Kluyveromyces lactis: one gene and its partner. The protein of the gene in region 1 purifies or fractionates together with the protein of each later gene. This does not show direct contact. Links are inferred from orthologs where the notes say so. Each region holds a gene or a part of one and is shown in the gene's direction. Other genes may lie near its edges.

Region 1 (16,011 bases):
TATACTGAGTACAATAATAGAATATGATTAGTTAACGTTTTTGTTTTCTGTAGACTAATCAAGCCTATTACTTTTCTCAGTTTCTAGCGCTGTTGAAGAAAATGTTGTACTGAAATAGGAACACTACTCAATAACGTGAGCTTTTAGGATATGCAGAAAGAATCTTGCAAAGACTCTATGATCGAAAACTAGAGATCTATATATATGTATATTGTGTAATCATGACTTAGACAAATGCAAGGTAGCAAGAACAGATATATATATATTTCTGAGATCAAGTTTCGGAACTTCTGGACTCAAGAGTCTCGGTCAATGGACGATACCTGTCCTGCTACTTGGGTTTTTTAATAAAAAGCACTCCAAACAAACTCGCTATGACCTTCAAGGCTACTTAGCTTCTTTCTTTTCGTTTTTACTATGACTACAATAAGTCGGTATGGACTAAGTTAGATCTGTACTCAACCGTCTGACTTCGAAATGATTAGGAAAAAAAAGAAATTTAGTTCAATGCCTTAACGATAGGGTTACTGCTTTTTAATAAGTCATCACAAACCTTATAATAATATTGTATTGACAGTAAACGGCGGAGCTAGGTTTCTTTCCACCTAGATGGCTCAAAGAAAAAGATAACCCCATGTAAATAAGTTACCGAAAACTCCTGATAGGCAGAAGGAAGCTGTTGTTCGTACCATCTTCCAACTCTTCGCCTTCTCTTCGGCAAATGAGTTCGATATAAAGAAAAAGGACACCCAATTGAACTTAGACGGTAGAATGCATACGTTTTACTTAATCATGAAATAACCAGAAGGTTTGACGCCTCATGGCTCTTGTTATTTTCCTGAGTGGGGAGTACTATACATCATCACCATTTTCTTTTTGTTTTCCGACTTATGCACTTTGAGTCGCACAAAGAAGAAGAATTCCAATTGAAGCTCTTAATTCCTAGGGTAGTCCCGTCCTTAATTCTATTTTCAGAAGAGCTATCAAGTGAGAAATAAACAACGCAGTAATAAAAGTAGTATAGATGGTGCTGCCAATACTAGCAGCTAAAAGAGCTTATATTTTCTGTTTTGACTATCAAGACTACTTTCGTAGGAATTTTTTTTCTCAAATTTTCTGTCTCGAGAACATTGGAAAAAAAAAAAAGGCAGTCACCTATAATGATGATTAGAACTACGTGGTAACTGGGCTTTCTTGATGTGGGGGTGATTTAAATAAAGTGGGACTGCTCAAGGCGGTTGAAATCTGCCTCGTATTTGTGCTTGCAGGTGTTTTCGGTTAGCGGAAATTGTTAGTAGATAGTCATTCTATGTCACATGCTCGATCAGAAGAGACACTCCTAACCTAAGTACAGAGCTTCAGTTTGTGCATTCCGATTATTGAACACACGTAGCCATCTCTCTATTCAATTCTTTTATTATCAGTACCATCGTGGCGAAATCATAGGTAACCGAAACTTCGGTTTTTGAAGTAAAGTTTTCTTTTCTGGACGTTTCGGAAAAACTACCTACGGTTGAGTCTCAAAACTTTGTTTGGGCGGCACTTTTCTCTCCTCTCATGTTCCTTAAGGCATTTCCGTGAATTATGTCAGGAATTATCCGGAAAAACATACTTAATGGGGCAGGGTTGACGGAAGAATTCCTCAAGGGCGAATTAACTGCAATTACAGAAAACAGGTACGTGGATCTCTAAGAAGAGCTCAAAAAAAGAAGTTGTGGCACTTTTATACTTGATCTATTTCCAACTGTACCTTTTATTCCAACGCCAATAACACCAGTCATGGCTGGCAAGGTTTTCTTTTTTTCGAGGTTTACTGTTCAGAAGGTAAAAATGAGTCGCCTCATTCCTGTGCTTACGTGGAATCTGCAGATATTTTTGACCCAAGTTCATAAACAAATCAATGATAATAATAAATGATAGTACTTATAAAAGAATATGCTACTTATAAAATAATATATGGTTTGCAAAGGATGTTTGTTACATGTATGTACGGCTGTGGTATAGGACATTTTGCTTGTCTGTTTGTTTGTGTTTTTTGGCTGTTCAAGTTGGGAAGTGCTTATTTGAACTGATCCTCAGTGACACCTTGACCCATAGCAGCAGTGGCAGCGAGACCACCTTGTGCTAATCTTAATAGACCATCGATATATTCAGCACCAGACCATTTCTGGTGCTTTACCATGTCGATACCGTTATCCAATTCCTTCTTTTGGATATCTTGAGCATATGCCTTCATTCCTAACTTGGCGAAATTCTTGGAGAATTGTTCGATGGCTAAACCACTTGTATGTAGACCAGCTAAAGTGATAAATTGCCAGATGTAACCCAAGTCACCCAATCTTTGAATGAATGTCTCTTGTTCGTCGACAGACATAGCTTTTGTCCAGTTGAAAGATGGTGACAAGTTGTAAGCCATCCACTTGCCTGGGAACTTAGCTGTGACACCTTCAGCGAATTCCTTAGCTTGTTCGTAATCAGGGTAGTTAGATTCCATCCAACATAGATCAGCGTATGGAGCAAAGGCACGAGCTCTCATCACAGAACACTGAGTACCACCTTGGTAACGGTACAAACCTTCACGGCCTCTTGGCAAGTCCCAGTCGAAGAACAATTCGGTACCCAACAATTCCTTGGCCAAGGCTTGCATTTCATAGATTGATGTTTCACTTAATGGGTTGACTTTGCTGTTGAATTGGTCAATTACGGATTGGTCCTTACCTGCAGCCTTGGCAGCGTCAGCGAATACTTCGTGGAACAGCTTAACGTCGGCCTTGGCCAACCATTCTTTTTCGATGGTTTGTAAGTCATCGATGGTGGCACCGTCCAAGATAGCTTTGTTCAGTAAATCGTTCAATGGTTTACCCTTGACGGCTGGATTGGAAGCACCCAAGATGAAGTAATGGTCCCTTGAATCGGCAGTAGAGGATAATAGAGTAGCGGCTTCAGAATCAGTTCTGGCAACAAGGATCAAATCTGAACCCAAAACATCTGCAGCCATTCTACAAGTGATCAATCTGTTAATATGTTCTTGTACTGGGATAACACATCTACCAGCCATGTGACCACACTTTTTGTTTGTAGAAGTTTGATCTTCAATGTGGATACCGGCAGCTCCTCTTTCGATGAACATTTTTGTCAACTTGAAGACAGCAGTCAAACCACCATGACCAGCGTCACCATCAGCAACGATTGGAGTCAAATAGTCAATGATTTCAGATTCTTCAATGGTACCATCACAGATACGTTCCCATTGTTTTCTGTCATGGAATTGTTGAGCCTTGAACAAATGCTCCACTTTGTTTGGTACAGTGTCCATTGGGTAATCAGCCAAATCTGGACCCGGTTCGTTAGAAGTTGATGCAGTGGAAGAACATTGCCAGCCTGAAACGTAAATGGTATCCAAGTACTTAGACATTTGGGTCACTTGAACAGGGTCCAAAGCACCGAAAGTCTTGGAGACAGTGCCGTTCTTAGCGTGTTCCCCCAAGATTTTGAACAATTTTTGAGACATCACAGTAGATGGGAAAGTATTTGGTTTTACTGAACCACGTCTCTTTGCAATTTCGTAAGCAGAGTAGATACGTTTGGTGTCCTTCCAACGAGGTTCGGACCACCATTTCTCAATTTCGTCAATTTGACTTTGTAAGAATTCCTTCTTTTCAGCAGCAGAAGCCTTAACGGAGACCATTATGTTGGGTTTGTATGTTTTGTCGTTAAAACTTTCCTATGATAATATCAATTAAATTCGTATATGTTTTGCAAAGTAGTTGTGACTATTACAATACAATACAATATCGTTTGATGATTTCTTCAGATCAATAGAAAGAATTACAAACAAATACAAGGTAGAATATAAATACTTCTGAAACATACCATCAGTTATTCAAGACTCTCAAACCTCATCCTATATTTATACAAAAATTCTAAAACCTTAAGGTATAATTGAACTAACCTAATTCAATTTCAAAATATCATGGTTAAATGGATGTCACAGAATATATCACACACGTAATGGAAGTACCTAATACTAAGGTCCTTTTTTGCTTAACTCAACCAATCATGGCTCTAATTCCCACCAAAATTTTCACACTGACGACAAATTATTCCCTTTAATCAAGGGAAAGGTATGAGTCGATTTCTCTAACTGTCTGTCCGTCTGTGTGATATGCACCATTTTTCTGGTTTCGTCTGATCATTTCTGATTACAAACGGTACCATGTATGTGCAAATGAATCGTGTTTTGTTCGTCCATTGATCCCTGAATTGCGATACTCGGTTGTGGTATTTGTCACTTAGAGTTCCAATTACGTTGAAACAGTTGACCAGTTTCAAGCCGTCCAGATCCCAGTATGCCTAACCTGCTATTTGGCTGAGGAACCAAATAGAGTCAACTGAGTCAACTTTCCCCATTCATGCGAAAATGTCCGTGAATTCTTTAGAAATGGATGTAGGGAGGGGAAGAAAAACTGGAAAAACTATCACATTCGGTTTAATGGCGGATGATTCAATTCTCCCATCGTAAAAGAGGGACAACAAACAGGGTCAAAAGGATCAGGAAAAAAAATGTTTCAACCGTGTGAGCGTTCTGTGTCTTGTGTCATTCGTCCTTAGTCCGAAAGTGAAACCTTACTTTAAGTAATGGGGCAGATAATCACATAGCTATGTCGCTGTTAATCATACCCGATTATCTAGATGCAGATTAGGTGAGCTTACGGTATCAGCTCCATGGAAGGAGCCGATATATATAAATAAATATTACCCGGCTAAACGCTTATTGTCTAGTTAAAAAAAGTTATTTCCAAAAAATAACGACACCAGCAGGATTTGAACCAGCGCGGGCAGAGCCCAACAGATTTCAAGTCTGTCGCCTTAACCACTCGGCCATAGTGCCAAAATTTTGCAAATATTTCGATACTTGATTCTTATATTCTTAAAAACCTTTCATATGAGGATAAATCAGACATATCTCTTACTCTACCGAGTCGAATATGGTTTCCCGAAAACCTCTTCCATACAAGCAGTCTGACAAAACTTGCCTAATAGGCTGGAGCTCCAGATATTCAAAGAGGAACTCTCATGTTTCCATATTGCCTTAGAATAGCATGCCACTTTGAATGTTTTTTTAACACCACTCACAAATAGAGCACTACAAAAGAAGAAGTCAGGATGCCGATGTCAGCAAAAAAAGCAATTATAATTATGCGGAACGCTCCCTCAATTTTTAAGTGGTGGAAAAACTTGTTAGATAATCCGTGCGCGCAAACCATGATACGCCGCACATTTGCCTATTTGATGCAGCTTTAACCCCAGTCTTGTGATTTTCTATTCTTTACTTCGAATAACGCTACTTATTCAATGAGCAATCACTACATCACAGTATATTCATCATTTGTTGCATTCTCTTTGGCGAAGCTTGGTACCGTACACCCCAGAGTTTATTTGTGGGTACTAAATGGGTTGGTATAGAGACAAAGAGGAAGAAAAGTGGGTAGCAAAAAATTCGGTGGTGTGTTATGTGCAACCTAGCCTCATGGTGGTGTGCTATCTCTAGCTGGTTGTGTTTATTTGTACCTCTGCGGAATTAGGGTTGGATCTATGTGGAATTAGGGTTAGGGGTGTTGGAGTAAAAACACATAAGACAACAAAGGTAAAAGTGGCATATAAATAGAGGGTAAAATCCTAACTCCAAGTTTGCTAATCCTCTTTGCCGTATACCCTAAGTTTATGTGTTTTTCCTTTTTCTTGAGTGCTACCATCGGTACACAAGCATCAATTTGCAATAGTTAATACATATATTAACTTTTAACACACAGACACACTCTACATCAGAGAAGAATATTCACAGAAATGACCAAGAAGGATAAAGGACCAAAGTTTGCTAATGTCACCACCAAGTCCGGAGAAGTCGTCAAGGTGTTTGAAGATTTGAACGATTTCGAAACATTCATTAAGAACGAAACTGAAGATGAGGAATTTGATCACGTTCATTGTCATTTGAAGTACTATCCTCCATTTGTACTACACGAATCGCATGAGGATCCTGAAAAGATTAAGGATTCAGCCAATTCACATTCAAAGAAGTTTGTGAGGCATTTGCATCAGCATATCGAAAAACATTTGCTAAAGGACATCAAAGAGAGAATCAAGCTGCCTGATTTGAAGTTTAAAGACAAGGCAAAGGAAGAATCGTTTGAACACATTGTATGGAAGTATAATGATGTAACCCAGTATCACGGTAAAGATTTCGAAATCCATATTACCGTGGAGTGCCACAACGATTCGGCTATTGTAGATGTCGATTATTTGACAAAACCACTAACAGCTGCCGTCGAAGCTTAGAGACCATTGTTTTATTTTGAGTCACATGACCTCAAATTTCTCACTAAAGCATCGCGCCTTTTGAGAGATACAACGAAACAGGACCCCCAAAACGCCGTAAAAGTAACGTAGGCCTGATTTGAGCATTCCTATATATACGTAATTAGCGTGTTTAATGACTGAATGAATTTTATGATTATCTAAACATGGCTTTCTATTCCTCATACATTATGCCTTGTCAACCAACCCCTTTTATTTTATGATACAAACCCATCAGAACATTTCTTCTCACGTGACCTCATATTACGTCTTCTGAAGATACGTATCCGTTTAAAGGAAGAATTTCCAGGAAATTTTTTTTTTTTATTTCAGTTTCGATCGTTCTTTAGTTAGTTCATGGAAACTTTGTTTAAAAAATTGAAAAACTTCTTTTAAGAGTTTTATAAAAAAAATATATATGTATTTCAAATAGTGTATTTACCAAAGTTTCGAGTTGTAAACGTATGTTAAAAAAAGCATACAGGACCAAAAATAAATTCTAGAAATAATTAAGTGCTTGAGCGGAACTATTTATTGTCAATTTATCTGTCCTAGAATATACGAAGAATCATTATCGGCTGGCGAAAGAATACATCTTGGCAATTTTACACTATAAGGATAACACATTATCTGACAGCTCTGATAACAAGAAAGCACTATTTCGATACGATATACACGATACTAGACACAATACACATACGGATAAGATGAATGCCACGGCTACGGAAAATCCGCATGTTCATCAGAATCAGCATGAGATTCAGAAAGCTTTATCAAATTACGATACGTCCTTCTTATCGGATGACGAAGAGGACTTGTGTCCACTTTGTATAGAACCACTCGATGTTATGGATAAGCATTTCAAGCCTTGTCCTTGTGGATATCAGATTTGTCAGTTTTGTTATAACAATATTCGTCAAAATCCTGAGCTTAATGGTCGATGTCCGGCTTGTCGTCGAAAGTACGACGATGAAAGCGTCGAGTACATCGTTCTTTCTCCAGAAGAGTTGAAAATGGAACGTTCCAAGCAGGCCAGAAAAGAACGTGATCGTAAGCAAAGGGAGCGTGAACGTAGAGAAAATGACACTCATAATAGGAAACAGCTTGCTGGTATGAGGGTCATTCAGAAGAATTTGGTTTACGTTATTGGGTTGAATCCACCTTACCCTTACGAAGAACTTCCATCCATCTTGAGATCGGACAAGTATTTTGGCCAGTATGGAAAAATTAACAAGATCGTCATCAATAAGAAGACTGGACACGAGCACCATTCTGTTTCAAATTCATCGAGTCATATAAATTCAGGTTACGGTATTTACGTTACTTTTTCCAGAAAAGACGATGCAGCAAAATGTATTCAAGCCATAGATGGTATCTATATTGATGGACATCAAGTGAAAGCAGCATATGGTACAACAAAGTACTGCTCCTCGTATTTGAGGGGACAACCATGTCCAAATCCGAACTGTATGTTTTTACATGAACCAGGGGAAGAAGCGGATGCTTTCAACAATGCCAGGAAGGAACATGCCCATCACTCACATGCACCACCTACACTTGCTAAACCGTCTACAAGTGCAAGCTCTACGCCAAAGCTTGCTCATGCTTCATTGAGAACAGATGACTCTACTGTGCCAGCAGCTGCAACTTCAAGCTCGAAGCAAACCGCTCCTGTGCTAACACCAGCTCCAGTTCCATCTGGTTCAAACCCATGGGGTATATCTCAAGCACCCACACCAGTTTCTACTATTTTCAACAAGACTTCTACTTCTACCACTTTCCCTACGTTGTCAAGCTCCTTGGGGGAAACTCTGAACAGTCCAGGTCCAGGCACTCCTACGACCACTGGATCTGCCCCAACAGCAAACTCTTCTTCTAACGTAAGTTCGAAGAAGAAGGGCGAAAAGACATACGAGGATCCTTACGATCCAATGGCAACATGTGTTAAGTTCCTAGATCAAACTTTTAAGTTTTTATCAGATATTCCTGAAAGAAGCTACACATTCAACTCCAACTTATTGGATGACGAAACATATCAAAGTTACCCATCACTTTTTTCATTTGAGAAGATTGGATGTAGTGAGCAATCTGAAGGTGTCTTGGGTGCCAAACTATGTGATTTGCTTACTATAAAACCTGTGGACCACATGTCCTCTCTTCTGCCATTCATTCAAAACAAGGCTACACCTACCATGTTACCACCGGGAATTGCTGTCCAGCAACCACAATTAGTACAACAGCAGAAGCAGCAGCTACAGCAACAGCAATTACAGCAACAGCAACAACAGCTTTCACTGCAAATGCAACTACAAGCCCAACAAGGCATGGCGCAGCAAGGCATGGCGCAGCAAGTTATGAGCCAGCCACAAAGCAATTCTTCCGATCTACTAAATCAATTAATTCACGGTAAGAAACAGACTGCTGCCGTATAATCAGTACTCAGTATGATTCCAATAATATTTCTTTTACGAAGTTAGCATATAAATAAATATATATATTCATGTACATTCATTTATTTTTCAATATAAACCGTTCCAGGTTGTTAGATAAACAACTGTTTCAATTTCATTTTTCCAAATCAGACCTTGTAATCTACTGTCTTTCTGGGTTCTTCTTTCTGTCAAAGGCATTCACATTAAAATACATATTTTGACACACTCTTTTTAAGGTTTTTCCATCAATTATGTGAAAATTGTAACATTTAACATCTAAATAGTAAAGATGCGCCAAAAATATGGAATATAATTACATACACTTTACCTCAGCGCATACACCTTAACCTCGATACTGCGGTAAGCGCATCAATAAAGATAATATTGGCACATATCCATTCCAATTAATAGATGAAACCACAAACGAGGAAATACAACAGGCATAATGGCTTTCACACTTTGACCAAACTTCCGTCTTCAGTATCAAAGTTATTTACACAAGGTCCACCATTACCACCATCGAGAGTGAGAGTAAGGCGAAACCAGAACAAGAAATATGCACTCACTGGTGTATCAGCCGTGTTGCAACATGTTTCAGAGTATAAGAAGGCAACCCATCCCGTATCAGAGAACCAACACTTGAAAGTATATGATGAAGCCATGAACGAATCGCACAAAGAACAGGAGGAGTTGATGAAGAAAATACAAGAGTGGCACCCTGAATCAGATGCAAACATTTCTAGTGACCCCTACCGCACATTATTTGTCGGACGGTTACACTATGCCGTAGACGAAGTTGAACTACAGAAGAGTTTCGTCAAATACGGCGACATTGAATCGTGCAGAATAGTAAGAGACCAAGACGGTAAGAGCCGAGGATACGGTTTTGTGCAGTTTACCAGTTATGAAGACTCCAAACAGTGTTTCAGAGAGCTTGGTGTAAGGAAGGGAATAGAAATCATGGGCCGAACATCCATCGTTGATATAGAAAGAGGCAGAACGGTGAAATTCTTCAAACCTCGACGTCTAGGTGGAGGATTAGGAGGACGAGGTTACCAAAGGAAAGATCTCGTAAATAAATTAACTGGTGCTTCAACAAGACCGATGCATGAACATGCTAGAAGACCCATCAGAAGACACGATACCTTCGAAAGAAGAGGTCCTCCACAAGGGCATTCCCATTCTTATCAACCAACTAGTCCAATATCCTCACCTGCATCAAATTTCCAAAAAACTGCAAGTTCTAGCTACCGATCAAGGAGGGACAGATCTCGCAATGATACTTCCAATGGTTCTACAGACACATTGATGTATTGAGATGAGATAAAAAGACACATCAAATAGCACGTGATCAGAACTGCTGCAGTGATCTATATACATTTTCATATATATTCATATAAGTAGCCATACAGATGAGCCATGGCTAAATGTTATATGTACTTCCTACCATTTCTACCTCTGTTCTCATATCTACGCAGTTCTCCTACATTGTGCCCACTGGCCAAGCATAACTGAACCACTACCTCTGTATGCATGAGTAATTTCTTGATCGATGACTGATTCCAAAATAACGATGGAAAAAATTATTCCAGTCAAACAAAAAAAAAAAAAAAAATGGCAACTCAGCGAATCGCACATATAAAGAAAACCGTTTTCAGTTTCCCATTCGCTAAGTATTTCCATTAGGTATCTAAAGTATGAGTTAACTCGTAAAGTACTGAACAGCATTATTGTCTAATCGAAGTTAAGACCAGCTCTATCCATCTGCAGGACAAATTAAAGGGTTTGCAGGAAAGTGTTGATACCTGCCTTTTCAGTGATAGTGAGCCAAGCCAACTGTTTTATCTTCTTTAAAGGATTTTGATTAGATAAAGAAGAAGAAGAAGAAGAAGAAGAAGAAGAAGAAGAAGAAGAAGAAGAAAACATGTCTGTCCCATCTGCGAGATTGTTGATGTCAACGAAGGGTTTGAATCCATCTCGTTTGAGCAAAGTTGCTTCGATTTTGGCTAGATGTTCTCCTTCAATCCCAAAGAGAGTTGGTTATTCGAAAAGATTTGTTTCTAGTGCTAACGGTGTTGGATCTACTGGGACTAGATCTACGGTTATTCAATTATTGAACAATATTGGATCGAAAAGAGAAGTAGAACAATATTTGAAGTACTTCACTTCGGTTTCGCAACAGCAATTTGCTGTTATTAAAGTCGGTGGTGCTATTATCAGTGATAACTTGCAGGAATTGGCATCGTGCCTTGCATTTTTGTATCACGTTGGGTTGTACCCAATCGTCTTGCATGGTACTGGTCCTCAAGTGAACGGTAGATTGGAAGCCCAAGGTATCGAACCTGATTATATTGATGGTATTAGAATTACCGATGATCATACCATGGCTGTTGTTAGACAGTGTTTCTTGGAACAGAATTTGAAATTAGTTACTGCTTTGGAACAACTTGGTGTTCGTGCTAGACCAATTACTTCTGGTGTTTTCACCGCTGAATATTTGGATAAGGATAAGTATAAATTAGTAGGTGACATCACCTCTGTAGCTAGAGATCCAATTGAAGCTTCAATCAAGGCTGGTGTCTTACCAATTTTGACTTCGTTGGCCGAAACTCCTTCTGGTCAAATGTTGAATGTCAATGCTGATGTCGCTGCTGGTGAACTTGCTAGAGTCTTTGAACCTCTAAAAATTGTTTACTTGAATGAGAAGGGCGGTATCATTAACGGTAGCACCGGTGAGAAGGTTTCAGTGATTAACTTAGATGAAGAATACGATGAATTGATGAAGCAAAGTTGGGTCAAGTTCGGAACTAAGTTGAAAATCAAAGAAATTAAAGATTTGTTGGACTTCTTGCCAAGATCTTCGTCCGTGGCCATCATCAATGTTCAAGATTTGCAAAAAGAATTGTTCACCGATTCTGGTGCAGGTACTTTGATTAGAAGAGGCTACAAGTTAATTCGAAGATCTACTTTACAGGAATTCCCATCCTCTGACGCTTTGAGAGATATCTTACAAAGTGACCCAGACATCCAATCCGGTGCTCAATCAGTTGCTTCTTATTTGAGAGACTTGAACGAATCAGATTTCACTTCTTACGCTGATGAACCACTAGATGTTCTTGCCATTGTCAAGAAAGATTCTGTGGTGGCAAAACTAGATAAATTCCTATGTTCCCAGACCGGCTGGTTGAATAACGTCACCGATAACGTTTTCAAAGCTTTGAAACGTGACTTCCCTGCCCTACAATGGGTGATCAATGAAGATGATGCGAACATCGCTTGGCATTTCAACAAATCTGATGGTTCCTATTTGAAGAACGGTAAGGTTCTATTCTGGTATGGTGTCAAAGATTTGAACACTGTATCCGAATTAATATCCGAGTTCATTAAGACCTCCCCTGAAAGCGGTACCGCTCCATCCTTCTCTGGTTCCTCCAGTGGTGTATTTTCCAGTGGTCAATCATCCAGATCTTACTCCACTAGGGCCAGATCTGCTCCTAAAGTAGAAGGCACTAACAAGAGCCCTGCTAAAGTTGCTTTGATTGGTGCCAGAGGTTACACAGGTCAAAATCTTATTTCATTGATAGACTCACATCCATTTTTGGAATTATCTCACGTCTCCTCTCGTCAAAACGCTGGTAAGAAGTTGGAAGGATATAACAAGTCTGAGATTATTTATTCGAATCTACAAATTGATGACATAAAGAAACTAGAAAGTGAAGGTGCTGTCGATGTGTGGGTCATGGCGTTGCCAAACAAAGTGTGCGAACCATTCGTTGAGGCCATTGAGTCGGTTGCCAACGGTAAATCCAAAATTGTCGATCTATCCGCTGATCATAGATTTGTCCCGGAGACGGAATGGAGCTACGGATTACCAGAGTTAAACAACAGAGAAGCAATTGCCAATGCTAAAAAGATTGCTAACCCCGGTTGTTACGCCACCGGTGCCCAAGTAGCGATTGCTCCTCTATCGGAATACATCACAGGATTACCCACAGTCTTTGGTGTTTCTGGTTATTCTGGTGCTGGTACTACACCATCTCCAAAGAATGATCCAAAATTCTTGAACAACAATCTAATTCCTTACTCCTTAACAAACCATATCCATGAGCGTGAAATTTCAACTCGTTTGGGTTTGGAAGTCGCATTTGTTCCTCATGTTGCCCAATGGTTCCAAGGTATTTCTCATACTATTTCTATTCCTATTAAGAAGAACTCACTATCTTCAGAACAAATTAAGGCCTTGTACACCGAATTCTACGCTAACGAAAAGTTGGTACATGTTGCCGATGATATTCCGTTAGTTAAGGACGTTTCTGGTACTCACGGAGTAGTTGTTGGTGGTTTCAAGGTAAATGATGCAAAAGACCGTGTCGTAGTCTGTGCTACTATTGACAACTTATTGAAGGGTGCTGCCACTCAATGCTTACAGAACATCAACCTGGCCTTGAGTTACGGTGAATACGACGGTATTCCAGACAATAAGATTATTCAATAAACGGAACCACCAAAGAATAACCCGTATATCTATATCAATTTGAACTTAGTTAATATATATGTATAAGAAGATAATGTTATCATCTGCTTATCGTTCTTCCTGTCAGTGATAAACAGTCAATCGGTCCAGTGCTGTAAACCATAGTTACCCTGTTTCCAGATTTATTACCCGGATATCTCCTATAAGTTACTATTGAATGGGATTCATATTGAATGGAAACCTTTAAATGGATTAGGTTAAAATACTCGAAATAACTGCAGGCCGGTCTACTTCTTTTATCAGGAAGCATTAGCGCTGAATTATCCTTATCGTATTCATCCAAGCAGCTGCCTTCTGAACTAGTAATATGGAAGACTGGAGAAGAATTGATATCGATGCTTACGATCCTGAAAGTGGGAGATTAACGGCGGATGATTTGAAACCACCATATTCACATACCGTGAGTTTACAAGAGTTACAGCCAACCATTCAACAGTTACGTTCTTACACATCATCTGGTGATTTTGCAGCTGCTGTTGAGCTATTCACAACTGATCCTCCATACAACGCCGACGAACAAGCGAAATCACAATATTTCTCTGGTATATTGGAGGTGCTAACCCAAGTGAGACAAGTGGATATTGCTAATATAGTTAAGCGCTTGGATCGCAAGCAACAAGACGCATTGATAAAATACCTATACAAGGGTATGTCTATACCTGAGGGTCAAAAGCATGGGGGTATCCTTCTCGCATGGTTCGAAAAGTTAACGCAAGTTGCGGGTGTCAATCCAATCGTTCACTATCTCTCGGATAGAAGAACTGTATAAAGAACTATATAACAGTACGATTTTACTTAATTTAGTATGATATATTTACTCTAACGTATATGATCCAGTTTCACCTACCAATGGGCGATCATTACGGATCTTTGTTTGTTTGGCCTTTGTTCACATGGAGTGCAGGCCCTTTATTAAGTATTACTGGGACCTCTCAGAGTTAGTATTTCCAAAAAAAAAAAAAAGAGAAAGTACTAGTTTTAAACATTCAGTTCTTATTGAAAGCACAGACATATGCCAAGAAAGGGTTATAATATTGTCAAGAAGGCTCCAGTATATTGTTCCTGCTTTTCACAATGCCAGAAACTTTAAACGATAGCAATAAACGTGCGCTTCCTGAGGTGAATTCGGAATTAGAAAGCACAGAAACTCCTGTGAAGAAGGTCAAACTCAATGATAAAGATGAAGCAAAACCTTCAGAAGAGACTGATAAGTTCATAACAGAGAATGATACAGCAAATGAAGAGGCCAATTCCGTAGAGAGACCTAAAAATATTGAAACTGCTGAGACAACGGAAACAGCGGTAACAAAAGAAGAAGATACAAATAATAAAAAAGAAGAAGAGGCCAAGGAAAAAGATGAGGGCGCCAAGGCAGAGATAGAAGGGAAGAAAACAGAACCTAAACCAGAAAAAGACGTGGAAAAACCATCGTTCACATTTGGCCAATCTTCAAGTTTTGTTTCTGGCTTTGGAGTGGCAACTAAACCATTTGGAGCAGCCAATGCTTTTTCTGCTGGTTTACCTGCGGCTAAAACCACTGAGAAAGATGGAAATAAGGACACCGTCAAGGTTGAACCAGGTTTCTCGTTCGGATCTGGTCTATCATTTGGTGCTGGATTCAAAGCTGCAAAAGTAGCCTCCAAAGATAGTGTTGCAAAAGACAAGCAAACAGTCGAATCAGAAAAAAAGGAAAGTACTCCAGCCCAATCAAGAGAGCCAACAGTAAAATTAACGAAACAAGACGTCAAATCGGGCGAAGAGACAGAAGAATCGATCTTCCAAACAAATGCCAAGCTGTATCAGCTTACCGATATAAAGGATGGTTGGAAGGAAAGAGGAATTGGTGTTCTACATTTAAATAAAGATGAAGTTTCAGAAAAGTCGAGAATAGTAATGAGATCCCGTGGGTTATTGAAAGTAATATTGAATCTACCGCTTGTAAAAGGATTTTCTATTAAAAAAGGGTTCCCAGGTTCTCTGAACGGAGAAAAGTTCGTCAGAATATTAGCAGTTGATGAGAACAAGAATCCTGTCCAGTATGCCTTAAGGACAGGAAAAGCTGAAATAGCAGATGAGTTATATGAGAAAGTAAATGCTCATATCCTGGAGAATTGAATTGGACATATTACTTCTGATTCAAACAGACTTTGTAAAATTGACACTACTTAAAACCTTTTGAATAATACCTTAATTAAGATTATTTAGCAGAAGATTTGAGAAAGGCAACGCTGCATATTGTAGTTCCTTTGACACCACCGAACTCAAATATTGGATAGTTTACCGATTTCCATTTTTTCAACGTCTCTGTTTCAATAATCTTTATGAGTTCCTCTTCTGTAAAATTGCATGATGTAATCAACAGAATACTGTTTTCGCCTAATATCTTCTCTATCACTTTCGGATAGACATCTACCACGGTTTCATTGTTTTCAAATTTTATACCGCTTAATGCGATGGCATCTAGTGTACCTTTATCTAGAACGACATCGAATTTACCTGGGGCCCATTGTTCATTGAATATATCTGCCGTAGCAAAAGTTACGTTATCATTTTGGCTGTATTTAGTCTTGAGAATCTCAGCAGCAAACTCGACTGATTTTTCAGAGTAATCTACACCGATCATTTCACCTTTGAAACCTTCCTCCAATAGAGTGAACAAAAGATGACCATTTCCAGTTCCGAGATCAA
Region 2 (16,794 bases), on another chromosome or scaffold:
GTTACGCAATGTATTCAAATGTTCCAAGTATGCAGAATAGCGGTTCTCTAGAGCCGGGTCAGTATGTGGATTAGCTGGTGGTGGTTGGATGTTTGACGGAATTTGTGTATTGGTGTTTTGACCTCGCTGTCTCCGACCAAGCAATGGCAATAAATTGAAAAACCTTCTTGTCGTTTGCGCAAAATCATGTCCAACATGACTGTTCTGCTGACTGTTCGTATTTTCCGCATTAGTAGCAGTATTATTGTTGTTATTGTCATCATTATTGTCATCGTTTCCACGACCAGTACTAGTTCTTTCTTCGTGTGCTCTACGTAAAATGGCTCTGATATTTCCCAACAATCTTTGATTATCTTCCGGCAGATCGTTGAAATGGGTTATTACTGGGGTATTCGTTCTTCCGGCCGCATGTGTGGTATTATTATCAGCGGTATTAACGGGAACTGGATTCGTAGCCTGTTGATTTTCTGTGCTTCTTTCTCCGGTAGCCGCTGGGGACGTGGCAGTAGTTGCTGCCGCTGTAGGAGTTACACCAGTATTAGCAACTGGGGGTGTGGTTAAAGCCGTTGGTTGGTTGGCATTTGGATCTGATAGGAAAAATATGAAACTGGTTGAAAAAGTTCTTGACTGATTATTAGTATCATTAGTAATATCTTGCGCAGATTCTGGTTGCTGTCTATTTTCATTAGTATTTGAATTTTCCGTAACACGAGAACCATCCGTTTGATTGGAGGCTGTTGTGCCAGTTGTCATGCTTTCTGCTGAACTAGTATTCAATTGATTTTCTCTAATTGTGTTCACTACAGCTGGTTCAGGAGAACGTTCATAAAGCAGTCTTCTGATGGATTCAAAAGTAGATTGTTGAGTAGCGTCTGGTCCATTGTTTCCTCTTGAGGACGTATCATCGCTGCTGTGAAGAGCCTGTAATTCCTCTTCGCTTAAGATAGGTGCCCTGCAGATCGGACAGCTGTTATGTTCTGTTGTCCATTTGTAAAGACACTCTCTTCCAAATACATGACCACAAGGAAGTACCGTGGCTGAATGTCCATAAGTAGGAGTGTCTTCTTGACCTCCTTCCTGTTCTCCTGTGTGGTGTGCACTTGATTCAGGATCAGGCAGTTCATTATCTACACGTTGATCTGATTCGTTCTCTGGTAGGCCTTCTTGATGTGGTAGCGGTGCTGCTTCTTCATTACGCTGTCTTTTAGAATTCGGTGACTCGGCACTACCAATTTCCTCCCGACCTCTCTTCGATGAAGTACTGGCAAAATCCTTGGGGTCATTAATTAAATCATCGTAACAAATAGCACAGGTTTTTTCGTCCAGCGTATCAACTTTCTGTACTTCAAGTTTCTCAAATGCTTCTCTCGTAAGTCCACTGTGTCTTCTTTGATCCCTGGTTAGTGTCTGGAAAATATATTCGCTGGCTAACGCTATCACTTCGTTTAGCCTCCCCGAAGAAGTATCACTCGGGACATCTGCAAATCTCAAAATCATAGGAGTGAATGCTGTGTTAGCAGCATCGTTGCCAGCTTGCTCATCATTCCCTGATAAACTGGCATAATTTATGGCTATTGTAAAATGGCTTCTGGATGGGCCGCTTGCACCGTTCTCACTTGATTCGCTACCCCCACGGTCAGGAGCACTATCACGGCTTTGATCATGGTTATCAGACATAACAACTGCCGTGTCGTTTGACCCTTTGAGCCCCACTGACAAATCAATTTTATTTCTCAGTCCAAAAAGGTTATCACTAATTCGAAGTGCTACACATTTTTATCATTTTTTTAAATACTCAGAAATCAACTGAAGTTCCATATTGGAAAAATGCCGGAAATCTCTCTGATTGTGGTTGGGAACACCAGACGTTGAGAACGTCTTTTCATGTGACACACCTATTCCCAGCAAAGGAAAGAATATAAGAGGAGTACTTGGGTATTAGTAATGGTTCGCTGTAGACTGTAGAAAATATATATATTAACACTCAACTTACATACTCACGGGGTTACAGCAATGTAAATTTTATGTGCTTATAGTGGTACAGAAAAACCTATAATTCTTAAAAGAGATACATAGAACTGTAAATATTGGCTGGACAAGGGGCTGATTGAGTTTAATTAAGATAGTGTCCGTCTCTTGGTTGGGATTTTTGTTCACTCAAACAAATTATCGGAATCAATTGATCAATATAAAATGCTCGACCTGTCGAAATAGTTCGAGGGTAAGTTGAACAATATTCTTGATAGAGAGTATGCTTATGTGAGAAATTGAATTAACTAGGGTGTTAAAAGAAATTCTGATTATAGGCTTTCTGTTCCTATGCAAGTGGAACGGAGATCGAGCAACGCATCAATTTTTGGGCAGTGAAAGGGTTTCTATTGGCAATAGAATCTTTGATCTGACAAAGAACCGAAAATGTGCTAAATTAAGACAATGAAATAGACGAAGAGAGTAAGACCAAATGTGAGATGATGTGAAACGAAGTTCCTCTGATAGAAGTCTGCATCGTGTGTGTTTGTGTGTATTTTTCTTTTTTTTTCTTTTGCTTTTATTAAGTAACAGTCTTCCTCAGCTCAGAACAAGGATGGGATGGAAACTGCACTTAGAAGTAGACAAATTAGCGCAGCCAAGTGTGGTACTGGCAAGCTGGAGGCAGCGCCTTCTTTTTTTGAAGAGGAACCGGTTGAGGTTGAACCCGAATTACCGGAGGTTGAACTGCCGGAGCCTGAAGATCCTGTACCAGTCGAAACAGTACCATTAGCATTGTTGGTAACTGTGAAGATATTACCTCCAGTAGATAAACTTGCGGCAGTAGACCAAGTGCTGGAGTAACCTGGAGCTGCAACAGCACTTGGCACTGAATCCCTGATGACCTCGATTTTTTCGTCGCCGCTAGTGTAAGAAGCTTGTGCTAGCGAGATTTCGAGCTCTTCCAAATCGTAAACAACGTAAGCACTGGTTAGGAAGGCATCACCTAAAGTAATTTCGTTATCAGATTGAGGGAGTATTCCCAAGACACATTGGGAAGAACTGCTCGTTGTAACAATGTAATCACTTAAGGGGGATATGATATGGAAGCCACCAAAGTCGAAGACAAGATCATAATCACTGCCAGAATCACAATCCACAAAATAGTATCCTGAACTGGAAGAGTACGTAGCACTAACAGAACTTGCAATGGCAGCAGCTAAACTACTTGGGAAGTAACAGAATGTGGCACCAGTGTCTAGCAATGCAGGGTACTTAGTCTGTGTCACAGTCTCGTTACCATAACTGCTCGTCACACCGATACCTTGTAGAGTGATCGATAATCTAATCTGTTCAGTGTAGCCTATGCTTCTGAGAGCGTTGACCATTGGAACGGTGTACAACGTACCTGTATATTTGCTGTGATCGACGGCACCGAATAAGATAGAACCAGAATCCGCATCTAAGTCATTCAAGAAAACAGAATATGCATTCTTTTCGATGACGCCGTTTCTTTGCAACACGATAGGGAAGTTATCGTATTGATAGCGGTTGTAGGTGCTTAACTGACCGGAATAAGTGGATTCAGAACCTGTCAATCCAATACCTAAGACACCGAATTGGGAATCTGTGTAGTTCGAGACAGCAAAGCTGAGCCCCGTGACGTTGACATCGTCCAAGTGAATTTCATCTACACCCCAATCACCATCAGCAAAGGTACCATCCGCGTAAGAGATATAGAATCTAGTGTCATTTGATTGCCAAGAAGACGACTTTGACGTGTCGAAAGTACCAAACTCAGAACAATCCAAAGTGGCCAGGCTTGATGGGACAGATCTTATAGAAGTAGCAGCCACTGTACCCGATGTGAGTGCAGTAGGAACTGTTTGCGTACCAGCACTACCAGTGGCACTAGCGATACCAGTGTAAGTGTAATCGGTGGCTACATCAGTACCGAAAACACTCAGTAAAGACGACAACAGGGCAGTATAATCCTGTCTTTTTTTCTTCGAAGAAGACCTAGAAGCGGAGCAGAACGGATTGCCCGATCCAGGCACCCACAAATCAGAAGAACCAGTATCGATTAAAACACCAACCTTTTGTGCAGGAGTACCAATCTCTAAATCAACAGAGTAAAACGTGTTCTGGTTATCGATTTCAACGTCGACGTAACCATCTGCACGCTTCTTCAAATGGCCAACGCGTCTCTTCGATAATGACGCCTCAGACGCGTCATTCCCTCTCAACTTGTCAAAAGACATGAAGACATGCTTCTTATTCGCCTCACCGACCTGGGAAACGTCACGTTTCGTAATATACCCAGCAGAACCAAGGGACGCCAACAGCGCCCCCAAACAAACATCACTTAACTTCATTGCTGGTGTTTGCTATATATGCGCCTTGGATAATAAAAGGGGGAATTAGTAACCAGTACCAAGAAATGAACTTTAATTATTAAAGAAAAAAAGACGTCAGCCAAAGTATAACGTCTTCTGTAAAATGAAAAGACCCTTTATATATATACGCTAAGACAATAGCCGCTGTTTTCTTTCCAATTCAATGAGTCAGTTACCTCAAACTTTTAGGAGAGAAGGTACGTGATGTGAAATGCAAGATGGGTAGAAACATTTTCCAGTGTACGTTTAATCGTGGGAAAAAAACCTTTATAATAAGGCAAGTTTCATAGAACTTCCTTTTTTTTTTTTTTTTTTTTCAACGTTTCAAAGTTCCCACATCGCCAACTTTCGACACGGGAAACAAGCACAAGCCTTCATAGAGCGGGGCATTTCGTCAACGATTAAATATAGAAATGAAACGAGGCAAGAAAAAAAAAGAACTGAGGACACACCGTGAATGCAGATGGGAGCGTAACGGGCCAAGCCCCATCGATGACGAGTATGTTTTTTACTCTGTAGAATGTAGAGCAATGTGTAGTTGTGTAGTTGTGTTGGCTACGTTCTCCTCAGGGTCTGTCCTGTGAAGTATATCTGGGTAACTAGGTTACGGACGTGGTTTATTTTGAGTTGTCATTTGAAGCGTTTTGGCAATTTGGTGACCACTAAGTTATCTGGCTCTCCAGTAATACCCGTAATACGCAGTAACTGGGTGAAGAAATTTTGACAACTTTGTTGCCTGAGCACTCCATCGCCGAAAGGGTGATTTGCTGCAATTTTTTTCCTATATCTTATTGAAGAACTGAAAATTATTCAATTTGGTTCAATTCTGTGACGTGATTGATTGATTGACGGTCTTTGCACGCACGCAAGCACGCATGCATGCAAACACACACACACATGGGAAATTAAAGATCGAAGATGAGTAGGATTGTTAAGGAGTATATGGGGTTGCAGAAACGGTTGCAGACCCCTGAATTCTCATGGATCAGTTTTCTTGCACCGGTAGATGATGATGACTTATCCGAATGGGTATGTCGATTCCAAGGCCCGTCAGAATCGCCGTTTGAAGGGTTTGAGTTGGGTTTGAACATTACCATAGATCTGGAAAAGTATCCGATCAGTGGCGGTCCTCGGGTTCTGTTTGAGCCACGTACCGTGGCTCACCCTAACGTGAAGTGGGACACGGGCGAGATTTGCCTAGATCTTTTGAAAGATGCATGGACCCCGATATATACCTTGCTAGATGTTGTTGGAGCTATAAGAGATTTGTTGGCAGACCCTGGTTTGGACTCGCCACTAGATCTAGACATTGCCCAGATATACGATGCTGACTATGAAGCCTACGTGCAGATTGTTAGGTATAGACTTGAGGAGGCGCGGTTGGCACGCGTTTGAGTACGACTTTTACGTAGAAATACACAGCAACATGGCTGGATTTTTCATTTTTCCTTGCAGTGAAATTGAATAGGAATGATTGAAAAAGGATTAAATGATGGAAATGATGCAACTTATATTCCTTTGTACATGTTTTATACACAAATGTATGTTACTTTGACTTAGTACTTTCTTTTTGCCTAGCTTCCCTATTGTTCGCGGGGTGGAGACACTTGATTATCGAAAGAGAAATGGCTAGAAAGATTACATGGAAAGACGTTGGGGTTAAGGACGGGTTCCCATTAATTTCACCTGGGTTCGCTACAGAATCGGGGAATCAGTTACTATTCAGTAGTGGTTGTGTTGGTACAGATCCTGTTACCAATGAACTACCTGAGGATTTGGAACAACAGGCTAGAAATTCCATGATCAATTTGAAGAAAGTGCTTGAAGTATCTGGATCTTCTGTTGATTCGGTCTTGAAAATCTTGCTGTTCGTTTCCGATGGTAGTTACGCTGGTATCGTTAACAAAGTTTTCAAAGAATTCTTCCCTAATCAACCTGCTAGATCGTGCATTGTCGTTGCATTCCCCAACAATAAATTGAAAGTCGAATTAGAATGTATCGCTGAGATTCCATCCAAGAAAAGATGGTTCAAGTTGTGAAGGCGGGGTTTAGATTTTCCGGGCTTTGCGTTCCAAAAACTGTGGTGGAAAAGCCTATTATATATATGCCTCTATAGCATGTTAATTATACTATATGTTAACGAATATATGTTTAAAGAACAGACTTTGCTGGGAAATTTACGAATGTTCTTAATCCAATCTATGCCATAATAACTGAAAAGCAAATTCAATTACCATGGCACAGGGTGAAAGTACAAGGTGAACGGCGTGTAGTGTCCGAATCAAGTAAGATGTCGAATAAGGTTGCTGCGATGTGAAGAGCATTGAATTGTAATAATTAGGAAGAAAAAAATAGAAGGGCACCGGATGAGACTTGAGCCTGCAGCTTGTTTATGTGTATATTTGTGGTATCCGATTGATAAGAATTAATGAGTTTTCCAAAGTTAAGACCAGCTTTCCTCTAAAACGGTGAATTGAATGATAGGTTTAATGTATGCAGCGATGGGGTAGGATCAGTCCATTCCCAAAATAAAGTGCATTATTTCAGCTTCCACTGCTGTAGATACTCTTGAACCACTTCTTCGTATTGATCTACCGACTTCTCGTCGGAAAGTTCATCTGTCTGTTTTGGTGGGAACTTCAAGGTCATCTTCTTATCCTGTGGTTGATCCAACTGATAAGGTTTCAAACTTGCAGATACTTTATTAGGTACATCGTTCCATTCAGGGTAGAACTCCATCCCCATTGCACTACTGGACCAAAGAGCGCTTTGTAACAACTTGTTTGGTATCCGTGGATTATAACGCCACGTCCCGTTCACGCCCCCAGATAAGATCCCTCCGGTCCCGTTGGGACCGGCCATGAATGGATGTTCTGGTTCGGATGCGAAAGCTGCCTTAGACTTTAGTTTACCTCCCCCATTCTTCTCCCTTTCCACTTCTAGTTCCTTCACTTTCGCTTGGAATAGCGGGTTATCCCTCAGCGGAGACACAATAGGCCTGTATCCGCTGAACAAAATGTCAGCCGTGAGTTCTTGTGGCGCAAGAAACCTTGTCGTTGGCACGCGAGGAAGCTGTCTATACATTTGTGTGGCTTTGGACTTTGGAAATGGCATTTTCCTATGGTTGTATTATACTTTTTCGATGCTTTGATGCTTTCAACTAGATAGTAAAACCTGTTTAGATTCTTATTTGTCCGACAGTACGTTATCAGACCTTGCTTTTAAATAGTCTGACAAGAAAACACGATATTTCCGATAAACGATTTAATCCCCTGTTTCCTCTGAAAATATTAATCCACCGAGCTTTAGGAAAATCACGTAATTTCACATACTTAAATACTTAAAGCAACTAAGTAATCAATTTCGAGACGATAATCCAAGCGTTAAACCCTTGAACTATATATACTCATTTTATATATGTCAGATCAAAGGATGATGAAACCGCATATGTCATACGTTGCTCACCGAGTCAATCCGACTCGTTTTCACACTATGTCACTATGTGTCTAAATAAGACTTCACACACCCCTGGTTTTTCTTGTGTAAGACTCAAACATTCTGGGGGAAATAGCGGGCAAACCTTCGGGTACCACGCGTGTTTCTAGCTCAGTTTATGGGTGAGAATTGAGATTAGCCAAATTCTGAAAAACTAAGTAAAGAAATGCAAAAACCGGCTAACGGTATATGCAGTGTTAGCTGGTGCTCTCGGCGATATCGGATCAAGGATTGGTATCTCGGGGCGGGTGTGTGGGTGTATTACAAATGTTTAAAGGAATGTGATATTCACGTGAATATCACGTTACTGAACTTTTTTGGAGGAACCCATCTTTTTTTTTTTTTTGAAAAACACATTTACAGATATCAAATGTTATAATACTATTATAGTTTATGTTCTAACATGAGATGAGGTGGGATGAGAGATCGAATGAAATGAAGCTGGGTGTACTTTTAGAGGATTGAGCTGGACTTAACTGAGTCAGTGAAGAGGAACGAACGGAAGAGCTGCTACTGCTTACCCTGGTATCGGTCGTTTGTTTTGTTTTAAGACTCACTCTTCTGGACTATAGAGAAAACCCTTTTCTCTAGCGCCGTGTAATTTGCATACGCATTCCAATTTACCATGCTACAGGAAAAGAGTTCTGTTCAGCGATTATTTTTGGCCGATTCGGATGTTGATGAGAGCGTACTGTTAGAAAAACTCGTCATTGCTCTTTTTACCACGGTTCCTGGACAAGCGGTTGTCACACAATTGATTAATGATGCCAAACGAACAAATGACGTTGATGGGGTTGAGTGTCTGATACGAATGAACGATCCCTACTGGGTGGCACTTTTCGGTACTTGGGCAACTGATAAGCATATTTTGTCATTATTTCTAGGGTGGGTTTTAAGGAATGAAACGGATCATATCGATTTAGAGAGGTATTCAGATCAGTCGTTTAAAATGGCTATGAGATTTCTTCTCACGAATCAGGACCCCAAATTCACTGCACCACTATGGGATACATCCAACATTTTACTAGATTATTTGCATAATGCTAAGCCTTTGATAGAAAGTGTTCTTAAGAAACTTGACGGCTCGCAGTTTTTGCAATGTCTAATGAAATACAACCGATTGTATGAATTTAATGGTTCTTACCAATGGTTTACCCCTCCGCAGTCCACATCACATGCAGAATCTCCAACTACAATTTTAGAACGTAATTCTACTTTTTTATCTACTCTAGGGAATTTTGGTAATGATATGGTTCGTGCTCTCTCTCAGTTGAAAACTGGCGATATACGGCTGAATTCACTAGAATCATACGGAAAGAATTCTGGGCATAATAATCCACCGTTGTCAAAACAAGATGATCACAATCCGTTAAACTTGAATGGCAAATCTGATCGATTTAATTTGTTTTTTAAGCTTGGGTTACACAAAGAGCCTCATCCACTCCTTGCAGAGCAATTTAACTCACTTTGCTTATTTGCGGATCCCATGACTCAACCTCCTCCAAACGATTCTCATATAATTTCATTGGATTTATTGCATGACCTGTATCTAGGTTCTTTGACTGCTTATATTGTTAAACTGATACCCAATTACCAGAAAGTCTGGAAAATTCATTTGAGCGCAAATTTGGAAACTATTACATTGGCTATTTTGCAGATGTTGCAGATTTGGGATTATAGATCTCTAGACAATTTGAAAGATATCCAAGCAAGAAGCCCTGATGCATACCCTAAATACATGACATCGTGGATCCCATACGATCTTTCTCCGCCCGAAATGGAAATTCTTTATATGATTGCAGGATTATCTTTCTATTCGATGCACAAGATGCACTCTGATAAGCCGCCGAGGTTGAACCCATTCTTACCTATGATGCTTCGAGCATGGAGAGGTTTAAGTTCAGCATTAGTGTTAGGTTTGCAAATAGATAGGTTTGAGGAAATGCAGATGCTATATGGTACTCCAGTAATTGTTAGTGCAGTCATTCGTGGAGCTTCTGCGTTGCGCTCAATTATCGCAACGATTCTCAACGGTCATGTGGATGAGAAGTTGCACGATTTTAAACATCAACCTTTTGGTGGGTTCATGTCTCCTCATGGAAGGAAATTATGCAACGGGGCTCTTTACACATATGAAATGTATTATTTCGCAGCACTCCTACCATCAGGTATGGATTATGACGAAATTGTTGAATTATTGACTGATATACAAAAAGGAGATAGAATTGATGAAGATGTCAGATATATGTTTGATTATGAGTACTTTGATTACAATGATGCAGATACAAGTAAGCTAACAGATGGTAAGCTTATGTTTACATCTACTAAAAATGAACTCGAACAGAAAAATAGATTCAGAATGCTTAGGGGACTCTACAAGCGCTGCCTTTGCAAGTTTAGTGATGAAGACGACAATGATGACGATGATGACGATGACGATGATGATGACTATAATGGTGAAAAAAGCGTTGTTGGATTGGATGAGAATGGGCAGATCAATGAAGCTGAAACCCCTCAAACGTTTAGCGAAAGTAGCAATGCTGTTGCTTTCACATCTTTAATGACGCACAGAGACTCTCAAAATGATTTCGTTTCTCATCTTACAACAGGTTATGATAAAAACGGTGATGATTGGAGGGATATACCTCGTGGATTAAATCTATATTATATGGATGATTACCAATTTTTGTCTAAGTTGGACAAAGTTTCTCTCTTTGAGTTGTTGAGACGATTACCAGATAGAAACGTAACGTTTTCTCAAGCCTGTACGGTATTGAGAAGTATTGCAACATGTGTGAAGCTAGAACAAGAACAAATTCTACTGAAATTAATTACGGCCACTTCTGCAGAGGTAGATTTGAAAGTGCTTCCTTTTTCTACTGATGAAGTTATTACGGCAATTTTTAATGATGATGGAGGAATTATAAAGCCTTTTCCATTTTCAGGCTGCAATGATAGCTTAGGGTGGAAAATCTTCGATGAGTTGATGATGAGCCATGGGCACAGAAGGCTCTTAATCTATCACTTGACACATAGGTCGTACACTTTCTCGTCCATCCATTACGTGTATGAGTTGTTATTCGGTCTAAGAGGCAATCCTGCCAGGAGTTATGATTTAGAATCGACTAAGAACAAACAATTGGGGATTCTTAGCTGGACACCCACTGGAGAATTCGAAAGGGTTGCTGCAATTGAATTCTCTAGACAAGGAGTTATTGAACTTTCTGCAATTGAGAAAAAAATGTTGCTACAAGAATTTTTCGTGGGTGTGTCTTCAGGACTGCTAGGTGAGTATAATGATGCGGGTTTTGAAGCTTTTTCAATTAAAAATCCTTCAAAAGTGTATGTAGATGATTATGGTGAGGAGTTCTTCTCTGCAACATCGCGTAAGGCTGAGATGTCTGGGAAAGTAAAGATGGTGTGTTTCATTTTAGAAGAAGTATTAAACGATAAGGAATTCGAGTTTGTTCCACATGAAGATTACGTTTACGAATTAAAAAGGTTTTTGATGCAATGGTCGACGTTTTCTGCTGAAGCATGTTCCATGTATGCTCTTTTGAAATCGAAGGCTTTAGGGAAAGTTCTTGATCTAGGGACCGAGGGGTTAGATGATCGGCCAAATACTGACCCTGATGATCAGCTTTTGCCAGTAGATTTTGATAAATTAAAACTAAGTGACATAGATGACAGATGGGATACGGAGACTGATACAAGCATTGAGAATGGTGATAAGACGTCCATTATGTCTGAAAGGTTCTCCAGAATGCTACCAGTTCAATCTCTTGATGGACAGCCTGTTGACAAAGTTTTCCGTCACCTTCTTCAGAAATATCCTTTGACTGAAGGAACTCCTATTCACGGAAGGATAACTTTGGAGTACCACGATCATATTCTGCCACTGGACATCAGAACGCATCAATCATTGCATAGAGAATTTTTGGCGGTCTTTGATATTGATTACTTAGACATATTAGAAGCTCGGCAGCAAGAAGCAGAGGAAGAGTGTGATGAAATGTCTATTTAGAATACTGATCTCGTAGTATTTCTTTCAGAGCGGCTAGTTTGTCTTTGATACCCAGAATATAGTACATAATTTCATTTTGCATGTAGGAATTTTGAAGATTATCAAGAATAAGTAGCGCGTTCTCCAATTGAAGTAGTTGAGTTTCTAACTTAAAAGAGTCCGACGGTGTCTCTTCTAGCATCAACTGCGATAACTTTTCCGATATCGGAGGAAACCGAAGTTTATTTTTCATCATCTTTTTGAATAATTCAGTGCGCTGTAGGTTATCCATTCTTTTGTAATAGGCGATTACCTTGGAAGCAAACTGTTCTTGTTCTTTCTTGGTAAGAGTTTTATTGATTTCCAGTTCTTTGAAAAGAGATTTATTTTCTTTCTTGATATTAGAGAATAGGGTTTCAGGAGTGATATTCGCTTTTGAAATAATGTGTGCCAAGTAGTGATACTTTGTTGGTTCTAGAGTAACGTCTGAATCTTCTTCATCTGAGTTTTCAGCTGAATCTTGTGCATTATTTTCATTATCATTATTTGAATTATTGAGCTGTTGAGAGCACCACGTTTGAAATAGTTCATCCCGTTTGTCATTAGAAGTAATCAAATAATAGCGTGGATCATGCATTATCCGCTTTGCTTGGATCGACCAAGTTGAGTAAGGATCTAGTTGAATTTCATTAAGTAATTGAATGAACTTAGATTCTATTTCCGTGTTATTCAACGACGGTAGCGTATCCTCTTCTTTAACATCTATAGAAGATGGATCATTCTTTTCTTCTACCTCTGATTCTTCACCAGAATCATCTGATGAGGAAGAGTAACCAGAAACTAAAATATTACTCGATTCGGATTTATCTTCCGTGTCCACGTTAGAATTTGTTACTTGTGGTCTCTCCTCAGTGATATCGTTTTGTTCTTTGTCGTTACTGTCGAGTTTTGCTTGTAAAACATCTCTGATCTCTCCATAAACGTCACGGTCATTTCGAAGATTGAACCCTCGTGCTACACCTATAAGCAATGCAAGAAGAGATGTATCAACTTTATCCAACAAAGCTTTACTCTCATCATCCGCCAGTTTGAATTGGGACACATTAGATTCATCGTTGTGAAAGAATTTGGAACCATCTTTACAAATCACTAGGTTCCAGTAGTTTCGTAGAGGTAAACAGAACACTGGCACTCTCAATTCCTTCATACCAGCTTGCTGGCTTCCGAACTCTTTTGGTTTTTCCTTTGTGGATACCTTGGACCTCGTATTGAAGTAGTAGAAATTCCCCGAAGGATCTTTAAATCGCTTCCATTCGCTCATACTTGATTCAGATAGGAACAATGGGCTCTCCGCCAATTTAGTTAAAACTTTAAAACTTTACTTTCACAGACAGGTGCAGCAATGCAAATAACATCTCTGAGACAGGTCTTCCACCTCGTACACTGGGTTGTTCTCACTAAGAAAATCCATTGAAGAGCCGTTAAACAAAGGTTCGTTCTTTTATTTTTTTTTTAATGTCGACCTTTAAAATGAAATAAAATACAATCAAAGTTAGAAGAAATCCAGTGGCAAACCTTTGAAACTAGAGATTGAACAGCAATTGGATTCAACCAGATAGTTAAACTTGTAGCTAAAGTTCATCGAAAGTAGCAGCAAGAGCATTTCTGTGAGCGTACAGGTAATTGGTCTGTGAGAATATAAAGAACAACTAAGAAGTCAGAACAGATGGGGTCCAGAAGATACGATTCGAGAACAACCATTTTCTCGCCAGAGGGAAGATTATACCAGGTTGAATACGCTTTAGAATCCATTTCACATGCTGGTACTGCGATTGGTATCATGACTGAACAAGGTATTGTATTAGCAGCTGAAAGAAAAGTGACATCGAAACTATTAGAACAAGATACTTCAAGTGAGAAATTGTACAAGTTGAACGATAATATTACGGTTGCAGTAGCTGGGTTAACTGCAGATGCTGAGATTCTAATAAATACAGCCAGAGTACAGGCTCAGAGCTATTTGAAGACGTATAATGAGGAAATACCTGTTGAAATGTTAGTAAGAAGGTTATCCGATTTGAAGCAAGGGTATACTCAGCATGGTGGTTTGAGACCATTTGGTGTTTCGTTCATTTATGCTGGTTATGATGACAGATACGGGTACCAGTTGTATACCTCGAACCCATCTGGTAACTATTCCGGTTGGAAAGCCATCTCTGTTGGTGCCAACACACAAGCTGCTCAAACTTTACTACAAATGGATTATAAAGACGATATCACTCTGGATGGGGCCATCGAACTAGCCCTAAAGACTCTATCTAAGACTACAGATTCAAGTGTGTTGACCCACGAAAGATTAGAATTCGCTACCATCAGCAAGGATGCCGAGGGGAAGATATACCAGAAGATCTATAAACCAACAGAGATCGCTACACTATTGGAAAAAACCGAAATAGTAAAGAAGGATGATGATTAACGATAACGACAAGTCATCCAACACATGTGTTCAACTACTGGACATTAACTGCCTTTATCCTCACTGCCATATATAAGTACGTATGTGTTTTAGAATGTAATCATCATTCAATCAGTCTACTGTCGAAAACGTCTTTACCTTTACAATTAATTAAAGAATTGAAGCTTTTTGTTGTTAAAATACTATTCGCGCATGCAATGTTGAGAAAAAGGATAAAACAAATTAAAGAAAACTCGTAGCTAGTAACTGTTTGGGCTTAATCTCATTACTCATTTAGTATAACCACGGTCTAATAAGCAAATGCTATGAAGTATGTCTGATGGTAGCGTTATATCCGCCGTTTAAACCGCAGAAACTTTAATTTTACTAACACTTATAACATCAAAAGAACATTCTTCATTACAGGAGATGTGCCTGTTGGGTATCAGGTGCCCGATTTCCCATCCTTATATTGGCCCATGAACAATGGTAAGTTCAGCGTCGCATATCTCTACTACCTCCCCGATATATGGAGGTTTACGATCTTCTGGACCATGATTCTATTTGCAATAGTATACGGAACTACAGGTGCAATCGCATGGACTACACACAAGAAAATCTTATTCGGCTTTTGGATGATCCCATTGTATATAATGATAGGCATGGCGCAGGCGTTTGTCTCGGGAACTGTGGTGGGTATATTGATCGCGATCATATATAAGGCAGGGTTATTTGCAATGTCTACATGGATTCCCTTATGCTGTGCTGTGGTCCAAATTTTATTTAACGTGAGCACAAGTTACTCGATGACAAGTCCGATCATATGAGTGATGTATATATATTAGTCGCATTCGGTTATATAGTTAATTTTAACCGTGACCCATTCCCTTCCTGACCTACACAGTTCATCTTAGCTCATCTCGGCCCTTTCTTTGGAATAGGTTTTTCCGTGCGGTCGGTATAAAAATGAACAAGGCTTATAAAAAGAACCAATCCAGAAACATGGAACAGGTAACTTAAGTAAACGAAACCTGTTAATATTGCTCTCGAGAAAACAGAGGATATAAGAGAATTGGAAGAAACCAGTTAGGATATCTTTTACGTCATACTTAGGGGACAAGGTAGATATCATCTAGATCCAGACTATATCCCATATCGTTTAATTTTATCAAATATTAAGGAATTGGAAGTATAAAAGATGCCATCAGTGGAAGAAAGTGTAGCTACAATTAAGTCAGAGTTGAAGTATTTGAAGGAGCAAGGTGCATTAGCAGAGTTAGCATATAAGGATATTGAATCGTTGTTACCAAGAGTAAGACCACAACCACCAGTAGCAGATACGATGGGTCAAAATAACGAGATTGTGGAAGCACTATATGCATTTCAACCACAACAGGATGGTGATTTAGCTTTGAAACCGGGAGATAAGATCGAGATCTTGGAAAAGTTAAGTCCTGAGTGGTACAAGGGCAAATGCAATGGTCAAGTCGGTGTGTTCCCAAGCAATTATGTGAAGTCAGTTGACACGAAAGATGTCGAAAAGAGAAGCTCTTCTGCAACTCCGGTTGCAAATCTGCCTCAATATGCGGCATATACTCCACCTGGACAGCAGATGCAAGTTCAGCCGCCAGTACAACAACAATCACCATTCCCACCACAGTTTACCGGTTATTACCAGCAACCAGTGCAACAACAGCCAATGCAACAATACCCTCAACAGCAGCCTCAAGAACAACCTCAAGAACAAAGCAGTCATCAAGGCTCCGCAGCATTTAAGAAGTTCGGAAGTAAATTGGGAAATGCTGCCATTTTTGGTGCCGGTGCCACCATTGGTTCTGATTTGGTGAACAGCATCTTTTAGAGATAGTTAATGCCATGTTTCTTACTAAGAAATTTTGATAAATTTACCTTACTAAGGCAGAAAATAGAGCTTTTTTAGCTCAGGCTTTCTATTTTGTCTTATTTTGCCAAGAAGCAAACACAAATCATTGTTTTATTCCGCCAATTACACTCGTTTATTCTTCTTCTTCGTTGCAAGCCTTTTTTTATTTCTCATAGATTTACCTGGCGGTTCATTTATGCTCATATGCTCGCATATGTAGAAATTAGCATTTGATGTTTGCAGTACCTACTTTTTCTACATAAATTTGCCATACATATGATGAATTCTGTTAATAACGTTTATCTTAGCTTCATTTGTTGAACCGTAATCGCCGAGGTCGTTACAATCACGGACCCAGATTGGTTTATAATTCTTGGGTAAATATTTGACCATAACCATTTTCAACGTGGCTACCTCCAAGTTGAGTAATGCAAGACTCTTCATCTGTTCATCGTGAGGGATTACTTCTTCCGATAGTGGCACATTCAATAATCTTTCAATTTCATTCAAAGACCTATTGATGGTGAACTTGGTGCCCTCCAAATCCTTAGCCCATTCAACACCTGAGCTTATTGAATGGCTCAAGAAATTCCGT

Evidence for each region.
Region 2: the proteins of MOT2 (region 1) and CAF130 purify together in Saccharomyces cerevisiae (affinity purification with mass spectrometry; 4 studies listed by BioGRID, with this or other methods). This does not show direct contact. The link is inferred for Kluyveromyces lactis from reciprocal best matches to the Saccharomyces cerevisiae genes MOT2 and CAF130.

Annotation. Positions count from the first base shown.
Region 1 is NC_006039.1:698,294-714,304, reverse strand, and holds MOT2 (CCR4-NOT core ubiquitin-protein ligase subunit MOT2), read left to right. Parts: upstream 1-7,064; coding exon 7,065-8,789; downstream 8,790-16,011. Other genes in the region: ICL1 (isocitrate lyase 1), read right to left, coding at 2,060-3,688; KLLA0_C08063g (uncharacterized protein), read left to right, coding at 5,848-6,339; U1 snRNP complex subunit SNP1, read left to right, coding at 9,201-10,106; ARG56 (bifunctional acetylglutamate kinase/N-acetyl-gamma-glutamyl-phosphate reductase), read left to right, coding at 10,714-13,284; ARC15 (Arc15p), read left to right, coding at 13,631-14,092; YRB2 (Yrb2p), read left to right, coding at 14,398-15,438; EFM4 (Efm4p), read right to left, coding at 15,521-16,011. UniProt on the Saccharomyces cerevisiae protein: E3 ubiquitin-protein ligase component of the CCR4-NOT core complex, which in the nucleus seems to be a general transcription factor, and in the cytoplasm the major mRNA deadenylase involved in mRNA turnover.
Region 2 is NC_006041.1:354,084-370,877, reverse strand, and holds CAF130 (CCR4-NOT core subunit CAF130), read left to right. Parts: upstream 1-8,484; coding exon 8,485-11,883; downstream 11,884-16,794. Other genes in the region: ubiquitin-protein ligase SAN1, read right to left, coding at 1-1,677; KLLA0_E04049g (pepsin-like aspartic protease), read right to left, coding at 2,574-4,343; PEX4 (E2 ubiquitin-protein ligase peroxin 4), read left to right, coding at 5,283-5,759; KLLA0_E04005g (RidA family protein), read left to right, coding at 5,990-6,403; SUE1 (Sue1p), read right to left, coding at 6,903-7,478; URN1 (Urn1p), read right to left, coding at 11,876-13,183; PRE9 (proteasome core particle subunit alpha 3), read left to right, coding at 13,589-14,338; MAY24 (May24p), read left to right, coding at 14,644-14,648, 14,727-15,144; KLLA0_E03873g (SH3 domain-containing protein), read left to right, coding at 15,516-16,178; NCA2 (Nca2p), read right to left, coding at 16,455-16,794. UniProt on the Saccharomyces cerevisiae protein: Acts as a component of the CCR4-NOT core complex, which in the nucleus seems to be a general transcription factor, and in the cytoplasm the major mRNA deadenylase involved in mRNA turnover.